2 linked regions of the Coturnix japonica genome follow. The protein of the gene in region 1 purifies or fractionates together with the protein of each later gene. This does not show direct contact. Links are inferred from orthologs where the notes say so. Each region holds a gene or a part of one and is shown on either strand. Other genes may lie near its edges.

Evidence for each region.
Region 2: the proteins of LATS1 (region 1) and SAV1 purify together in Homo sapiens (affinity purification with western blotting; 3 studies listed by BioGRID). This does not show direct contact. The link is inferred for Coturnix japonica from reciprocal best matches to the Homo sapiens genes LATS1 and SAV1.

What each region holds. Positions count from the first base shown.
Region 1 is NC_029518.1:43,371,874-43,375,686, reverse strand, and holds part of LATS1 (serine/threonine-protein kinase LATS1), read left to right. Parts: coding exon 1-224; intron 225-1,211; coding exon 1,212-1,394; intron 1,395-1,604; coding exon 1,605-1,711; intron 1,712-2,662; coding exon 2,663-3,169; 3' UTR 3,170-3,813. UniProt on the Homo sapiens protein: Negative regulator of YAP1 in the Hippo signaling pathway that plays a pivotal role in organ size control and tumor suppression by restricting proliferation and promoting apoptosis.
Region 2 is NC_029520.1:52,524,925-52,529,527, reverse strand, and holds the start of SAV1 (protein salvador homolog 1), read left to right. Parts: upstream 1-1,776; 5' UTR 1,777-1,919; coding exon 1,920-2,013; intron 2,014-2,610; coding exon 2,611-3,057; intron 3,058-4,603. UniProt on the Homo sapiens protein: Regulator of STK3/MST2 and STK4/MST1 in the Hippo signaling pathway which plays a pivotal role in organ size control and tumor suppression by restricting proliferation and promoting apoptosis.

The sequences.
Region 1 (3,813 bases):
GATGAGTCTCCTAATTAGAATGGGTGTCTTTCCGGAAAATCTGGCACGGTTCTACACAGCAGAACTGACCTGTGCAGTTGAAAGTGTTCATAAAATGGGCTTCATCCACAGAGATATTAAACCTGACAATATTTTGATAGATCGTGACGGTCATATTAAATTGACTGACTTTGGACTCTGTACAGGTTTTCGATGGACCCATGATTCAAAATACTACCAGAGTGGTAAGAGAAATATAAAACTTGTTGTTGGAATGTTATTCTTTTGAAGAAATTAAATAATGAGTTAAAAGATGGCTGCAACATTACCAACATAAATGTTAAAGCATCTAACAGTGTTTCTACACACCATTCAAATTGCAGAGCACAATGTTTAGGGAGCCTTTCTGAGTGTAGGTAGGCACTGATTCCTTAAGAGAGAAGCAATAAACTGTGGTGCTGAAAATTTGTTCCATTACTACCTCCTGAAACTTGGAGAGAAAAGATGTAGTGGCATAATTGCATAGATAACAACTCTAACTCTATTTGGAAGGTAGGGCTGATGTTTTAGATTGATCGTTCTTGGAAAATCTGCTGAATGTCTTTGCAGCTGTTGATTTCTTTTGAAACCCTTCTTGATGACTTAAAACAGTGGTTTGAAAAAAGAGGAAAGAAAAACAATTCCATGAGTGATAAAATATAGATTATATATTAATCGAAAATTAACTTTTTAATTCTTGGAGGTTTCTTTTTATTTGAAAAAGTACCTTTGAGTTACTGTTAGACCAGGCTACTTTGGAGTCTCTCAAGAGAAAGCAGAAGTGTTTGTGTTATTCCATATTAGAGATTGAAACTGATGTCTTGGAAGGCTTAAAACCTGATTGATTTTTATCTTTTTGGTAATTAGCATCAATTGATGCTTTAAATGTTGTTTTTCTCTCTGTGTAAGAGCAAAAACAATATACATGCTGTACAGTCAGTATGGTTATGTTAAGAAAAAACTTAAGAATCAAACTTTCTCATAATTATGCTAAAAAGTAACTTCTCAGGTGTGGATTGTATTATAAGCAAAAAGTCAAAATCCTGATGTTTTAAAACATTTCAGATATTTTTCTTGAGTAGTGAAATAGTTTCTATTTTGTAATAAAAATATAATAAATGAAGAGAATTTCATTCTAGTTGAGCTCTGAAATCGCCTTTCTCAATTTTGGCATTATTCTCACACACTTGCAGGTGATCACGCACGTCAGGACAGCATGGATTTCAGCAATGAATGGGGTGACCCAGCGAACTGCAGGTGTGGAGATCGGCTGAAGCCACTCGAACGTAGGGCTGCACGTCAGCACCAGCGCTGTCTGGCCCATTCCCTTGTTGGCACACCTAATTATATTGCACCAGAAGTGCTGCTACGAACAGGTAATGCGTTTATTTTTATTTTTTTATCACAAACTTTCTGCAACGTAACTGGCATTCAGGTAGCAGCTTCACATTTCTTACATGAGTGCTTTTCCCAAGTGTGTATCTTGAGTATTAATATGGAAATCTTAAATGTATTGAATAGAATTATCTTGTGAACTTGCAGGATTAAATGCATGCTGAAGCTTTGAGTACTTCTTTTTCCTTCAGGTTACACACAGCTGTGTGACTGGTGGAGTGTTGGAGTCATTCTCTTTGAAATGTTAGTGGGCCAGCCTCCTTTCCTGGCACAAACACCTCTGGAAACACAAATGAAGGTAATTTTAAACATCTCATGGTAGCAGGTAGAAAAAGCTGAAAAAACAGAGTTGCAGTGGACATGATGCTTTTAATTTATAATGGAATCAAAGGGGATTTTTTTTGAGAGTGCTGCTCTTTTTAAGGATGTTAAGAGCTAGCAGGATTCTAAATGTTATAGTGGTGCTCTGCTTATTTTGTAAGGGGACTTCAAGAATCACATTTGTGTATTTTATCTGGTTATGCTGCAGTTGTAACAAGTAAAATCACGTTTCATTTCTCAGCCTTCCTCTATAACTAGAAGTATGTGCAGGAAGTTATTAATTCCACTTTCTTCTCATTTTCCAGCAATCTGAGTGGTGTTCTTCTACCACTGAACTTCCATGCTCACTTATCTGCAGAAGATTTCTTTTTTGCAATATCTGCAGGTGCTCAGCATGTGAGAATGGAGGAGTGTGTCTGCTTAGGGTTGCTGGCAGCTCAGAGCTGTTGGTTTTTCCCTTTCCAACCTCACCTGGTTGAGAGACTACAAGGCTAATGCGTTATTCTGCAGTGCCATTTTAATGTAACAGCATTCAACTCCCATAGTTGGCCCGAATGTACTTCTGTATTGATGTGTAACTTCAAATTTGTTGGTCTTTACAATAGGTGAAATAATTCATTCATCTCACCTTCTTTGAAGATTGTAGGCCCTGTTAAGCACCGGTTGTTTTTTTTTATGATATCTTGTGTGTTTATGGCAGGCATATTCCATGCCAGACTCTAGTTCAGATCTGGGCTGTGAACAAACTTTATCTGAATTGTGCCAAATTTTCACACAAAGTGTTCTTTCTGCTTCTGGAAAAGCAGCTTCACATTTGCCCCCATTAGTCTGAAGGCATTACTTCTGTTGAGTGACTTTTTTAATTTTCACAGGGGATTTTCTTTTTTCTGGAGTTGTAAATAAAATAACGCATCTTCTTACTTTAAAGGTTATCAACTGGCAAACTTCCCTTCATATTCCACCTCAAGCTAAGCTGACTCCGGAGGCCTCTGACCTTATTATTAAGCTATGCCGAGGGCCAGAAGATCGTTTAGGCAAAAACGGTGCAGATGAAATAAAAGCTCATCCATTTTTTAAAACTATTGATTTTTCGAGCGACCTGCGGCGGCAGTCAGCTTTCTACATTCCCAAAATCGCTCATCCTACGGACACGTCAAACTTTGATCCAGTCGATCCAGATAAATTGTGGAGTGATGATGATAAGGAAGGAAACGTGAATGATACGCTTAACGGATGGTACAAAAATGGAAAACATCCTGAACATGCTTTTTATGAGTTCACATTCCGAAGGTTTTTTGATGACAATGGCTACCCATACAACAATCCAAAGCCCATTGAGTATGAGTATAGTAGTTCGCAGAACTCAGACCAGCAGTCTGATGATGAAGAACAAGCAGGTAGAGGGGTTCAAAATCGTGACCTAGTTTATGTTTAGTAGAGGAGTGAACACTAAATAAACAGTTTATTTTGCAGCTGATGTTTTTGAGAAGTGTTTTCTCTGAACAGAATTGAGAGAAGATCGCTAGGGTGAATATATGCATGTTATTTTAAACACTAAGTTGTCTTCATTTTTCCATCTTTGTACATTTTGTTTCCCCCAAAATCCAGGAAATTCCTTTTCAAAAATTAATTTATTCCAACATTGTTAATTGTTTAATTTAGAAGAGATTTGATGTTAGGTGAAAAAAATTATCACTTGAATTTTATCATTGATCTCTGTACTCTAAGTACTTAAAATAGGAAGTAGTGATTTATTTTTTTCCACCCTGAAATGATGCCTGATATCTATTTGTACATATACTAAATAATTTTTAAAAAACAAGTCTTTGTTTCAATTTTTTTTTTAATGACAGCTCTTCCTTCGCATTGACCAAATATAAAAGTAACTTGACACTAATAAAGCTATCTGATGAGTTTGGCAGCCCCCTCCTCCCCTTCCCTGTACCCTCACTGCTCACTGTATTTAGTTGTATTTATTCAGTGCTGGGGAAAACTGAGCCATCTTATCTAGTGAAACATTTCCAGCTGCTGTGGCAGTGGCGTAGTTCTCAGCTTTCAAACAGGAAAGAGTCTTGGCTA
Region 2 (4,603 bases), on another chromosome or scaffold:
CAGGGACACCCACAGCTCCATCCGTGCTCACAGCCCATCCCCTGACCCTGGTTGTCTGCAGGGATGGGGCAGCACCACCTCTCTGGGCAGCCTGTGCCAGTGCTTCATGTTACACCTCTGTGTGTGGGTACCAGGGCTGTGTGTTAGCAGTGTGGTAACTGAGCACACCTTGAACCATGCTTACACGAAGGAAATGAGCAAAGTTTGAAAATATTTCCTGGAAACACCACAGTTATGGTTCAGATGATCAGAACTGTGTTTGGAAATGCATTATTAGCTACTACATATTAACACCACTCCATATATTGCCCAGGGAGTGCTGGGCTCACCATCCCTGGGGGTGCTCCATTGCTGTGGGGATGTGGCACTGAGGGACGTGGGCAGTGGGCACAGTGGGGTGGGCTGGGTTGGGCTTGGGGGTCCTGGAGGGCTTTTCCAACCTGAATGGTTCTGTGATTCTACAAAAACAAGGGAGCCAAGCTTGATGTTAGCACTGGAATACAGGGGAGAAGCAGAGAAAAGGGATTCTATCTGTTCCTCTTCTCTCCCTATCCTGTCTCATCCACGTTTCTTTCTTCCAAACACCATCCTAACCACAGGAAAGGACTGGAGAATGATGGAGGAGAAACACAGTAGACAAAAAACCCAAATCTCATTGGAATGCTTGTGCGAATGAGTTCTCAGAAGTGCCTTTTGTCATTTCTATGCTGTACCGCTTTTGTTGCTGCAGGACAATTCAGGACAAACCCTTCCCAGGTGGGGGGAATGGTCACGGTGCTCCAACCAGTGTTGTGTTGCTTGTTGTGTCAGCTCAAGGGATAAGCAGCTCATCCCACAGTGTCAAGGCTACTGAAAATAAGCATAGAAACATGCAAACGTGCAAAGCATTTTGTGGTCTTTTGTGCATGAATGTGTCTCCTATGCACTACAGGCATTTTTCAGATACCAAAGTATTTAGCGATGTGGTAAGTCACTGAATTTCTGGGCCTCCTTGGTACAGCAGGGCTCGCCTGTTTGGCTATCAGTAACTGCACGGCCAGAAGGTGTTTTCAATGCTTTCAACTCTCATTTTATGAATCACTGTGAGAATAAAGGCATGTGGGTATCCAGGGCTGGAGTCTGGGGAGCAGGAGGGGGCAGAGGAATCGCACTCGTGTTAAATGGACGTGAGCTGAATTCACACCATTGAAGTACTACATGTCAATTTAGGATGGTATAAAAGCATGCTTTGCTACCTATATTCCCATTGCTACTTTGGGTACAAAGCAAATTGAATTAGTTCAGTTCTGGCTGGAAAAGGAAGGGTTGTAACATACTTTTAGCCAATGAATAGGCGAGGTGGAGCTGGGGACAGCCCAGCTCTGTCCATTACAACACAAACAGCATCACCAGCCCTCAGGTGTTCCATGCCTTCCTGCTGTGTGTGATGCTGGCACTGCTGACCTGTCTAATGCATAAATGGAAACAGTTGGTCTTTGGGTACGCTTGTTTTTGCTGCGCGTCGTCATGTGCTGACCTTACACCACCACGTGAAGGGGAAGGAGGGACCAAGCTGTGTGTTATTTATCATGAATGTAAAGAAATGAAATAAATCACTGTCAGATCCCTGCTTGTGGCTGGTTGTTTCCCATCCTTTATGGCAGGGCTGGGTGATGAATCTCGAACCAAGCAGAGTGCTGTACCGCCACACTCCTTCCGCTAGAGGGCGCTGTGACCGCGCCACCGCGACGCTCTGTCCCCGTCGTTCCTCCCGTCTCGTCTCCTCCCCAGGCGGGGCCGCCGCCCCACAACGCCCCGCGCCTAACGGCCCCGCCGCCCGCCCCACACACGGCCCCGCTGTGAGCCCGAGGGCGGCCCGGCCCTGCCCGAGCGGAGCCGGGTATGCGGGCGTTGGGAGCGGGCCGGGAGGAGGAGGTGGGATGTTGTCGAGGAAGAAAACGCGGGCGGAGCTGTCGAAGCCCGGCGAGGTGCAGGGGAAGTACGTGAAGAAGGAGACCAGCCCGCTGCTCCGCAGTGAGTGCCGTGCCGTGCCGTGCCGTGCCGTGCCGTGCCGTGCCGTGCCGTGGGCTCCACACGGCCGCGTTGTTCCCCCTCAGCCCGGCGCTCAGCTGCGCCCTCGCCCGGCCCGGCCCGCACCGAGCTCAGGGCTGGGGCTGGGCGGGGGGAGACACCGCGCTGCGGCCTGGGGGGGCTCTGTAATAAACGGGGGGGGTTGGGGCTCCGTGAGCCTTGAGCTCCCTCCCAAGCCGGGCCGCGCTTTGATTGTGTGATTGAGCTGGTGAGGTGTTGATAGGGCGGGATTCACGGGGCTTGGGCTGGATCTTGGTGTAACGGAGAGGTTTAGAGCCTGACTGATAAGGGGTGGGAGCTGTTTGTGTTGGCTTCTTTGGCTGTTAAACTGCGCTTCTTTGGCAATAGCTTCTGTTGCACATGGAGGGTGTGATGGCTTTTGTTGCTGCAGCCCTACTGTTACGCTGCTACACTGAGAGGTGCTTTAAGGGGGCTCTGGCATCAGAATGGAGTTACTTCCATGCTGTAAGTCAGACACTTTGGCTCGCCAAATACCATAAGTGCGTACAAAGCTCTCATTTCCTTTCTCTGCTGTACCAGATCTGATGCCTTCCTTTATCCGTCACGGTCCGACCATTCCAAGACGAACTGACATCTGCCCTCCCGACCCGAGTCCTTCTGCTTATGGCTCTGCTGGAGATGGAGCTGTTTCCAGAAACCAGAGTTTCCTTCGGACGCCGGTGCAGAGGGCGCCCCATGAAATAATGAGGCGTGAAAGCAACAGACTGTCTGCACCTTCCTACTTTGCTCGAAGTTTAGCTGACGTCGCTAGAGAATACGGCTCTTCCTCACAGTCCTTTCTGACAGAAACCAACTCGGTTATGGAAAATGGAGATGCCGGCACACGTTGTTACTATTATGATCACTTCTATGATGCCCAGAGGAGACGGCAATTGAATGATCGCTTGCATGAGGACTGCAGGTATTATGAGCACGGTGGGGAGCTTTTCCAGAGGATGGCTCACAACCATGGGAGGCGCATGTCAGGTGAGGATGGGTTCATTGTGCCCTTCACATATCACTGAACAGCTTTAGGTACATAGGATCCCAGAATGGCCTGGGTTGCAAAGGCCCACAGTGCTCATCCAGCTCCAACCCCTGCTGTGTGCAGCGTCACCAACCAGCAGCCCAGGCTGCCCAGAGCCACATCCAGCCTGGCCTTGAATGCCTGCAGGGATGGGGCATCCACAGCCTCCTTGGGCAACCTGTTCCAGTGCGTCACCACCCTCTGGGGGAAAAACTTCCTCCTAAGATCCAACCTGAACCTCCCCTGTCTCAGTTTCAAACCATTCCCCCTTGTCCTGTCACTGCCCACCCTCACAGTTGTTCCCCCTCCTGTTTATACACTCCCTTCAAGTATTGGATGCCCACTATGAGGTCTCCTTTCAGTCTTCTCTTCTCCAAGCTAAACAAGCCCAGAATATCATTGTGTCATTTGATTTTTGTTAATTTTATAATGAATTATTTATTGTGAAACAATGAGTAATGACTGTTTTGTGTAATCAGCAAATTGATGTGTAGTTAGTGCTAAAATTCACTTCCTAGTGTCTGAATTCTTTTTGGCTTATAATATTGTAATATTGTGAAGACAGGCTACAGGAGCTGGGTTTGTTCAGCATGGAGAAGAGAAGGCTGCGGGGTGACCTCAGTGCAGCCTGCCAGGACCTAAAGGGAGCCTACAGACAGGAGGGGAGACAACTCTTTACAAGGGCAGATAACAGCAGGACAAGGGGAAATGGTTTGGAGTTGAAGGAGGGAAGATTTAGATTGGATGTCAGGGGGAAGTTCTTTACTGTGAGAGCGGTGAGGTGCTGGAACAGCTGCCCAGAGAGGCTGTGGATGCCCCGTCCATCCCTGGAGCTGTTCAAGGCCAGGTTGGATGGGGCCCTGGGCAGCCTGGGCTGGTATCAATGTGGAGGTTGGTGACTCTGCCTGTGGTGGGGGGTTGGAGCTTCATGATCCTTGTGGTCCCTTCCAACCCAGGTCATTCCATGTCATTGAGGAAGAGTCATGATCACACACTTTCAGGGACCTGCTGCATTTTTCTTATGGAACAAGAGAATCAGAAAAGAAATCCCTTCAGTATTTGTTTTTGAAGTATTTGGTTATCTGTGATGACACAGAAGAGTCTTTTGTATGTCATGCTGCTGTCAATGTACTGAAAGAAGAAATGTGAGATGTCAGTGTTACCCATAGAACTGTGACCTTGCAGGCGGTGTTTGAGTGGTGTTTCTACTGCTGAAATGATGCTCAGGGAGGAGTTTGAGAGCAGCACTCCAGACCTTTAAATAATGCAGTGAAATATGCTGTTAGTTCATTGTTATTTGCAATCTGCTGGTAAAATTGTCAGCACTGAACTTGTGGGTGGAGCTAAAAAGCTGACAATGCTTTGCTGGTGGTGTTTGGTTTTTAATACAGAGATGTTCCATTGAAGCATGGCAGGAGAGCAGTGCTGGCATCGCTGCTGCCAGGCAGTGCAGATTGAGATGCTGATGTTTAAGACTTGCTGCTTCATCCTTAACTTTGCTCAGTG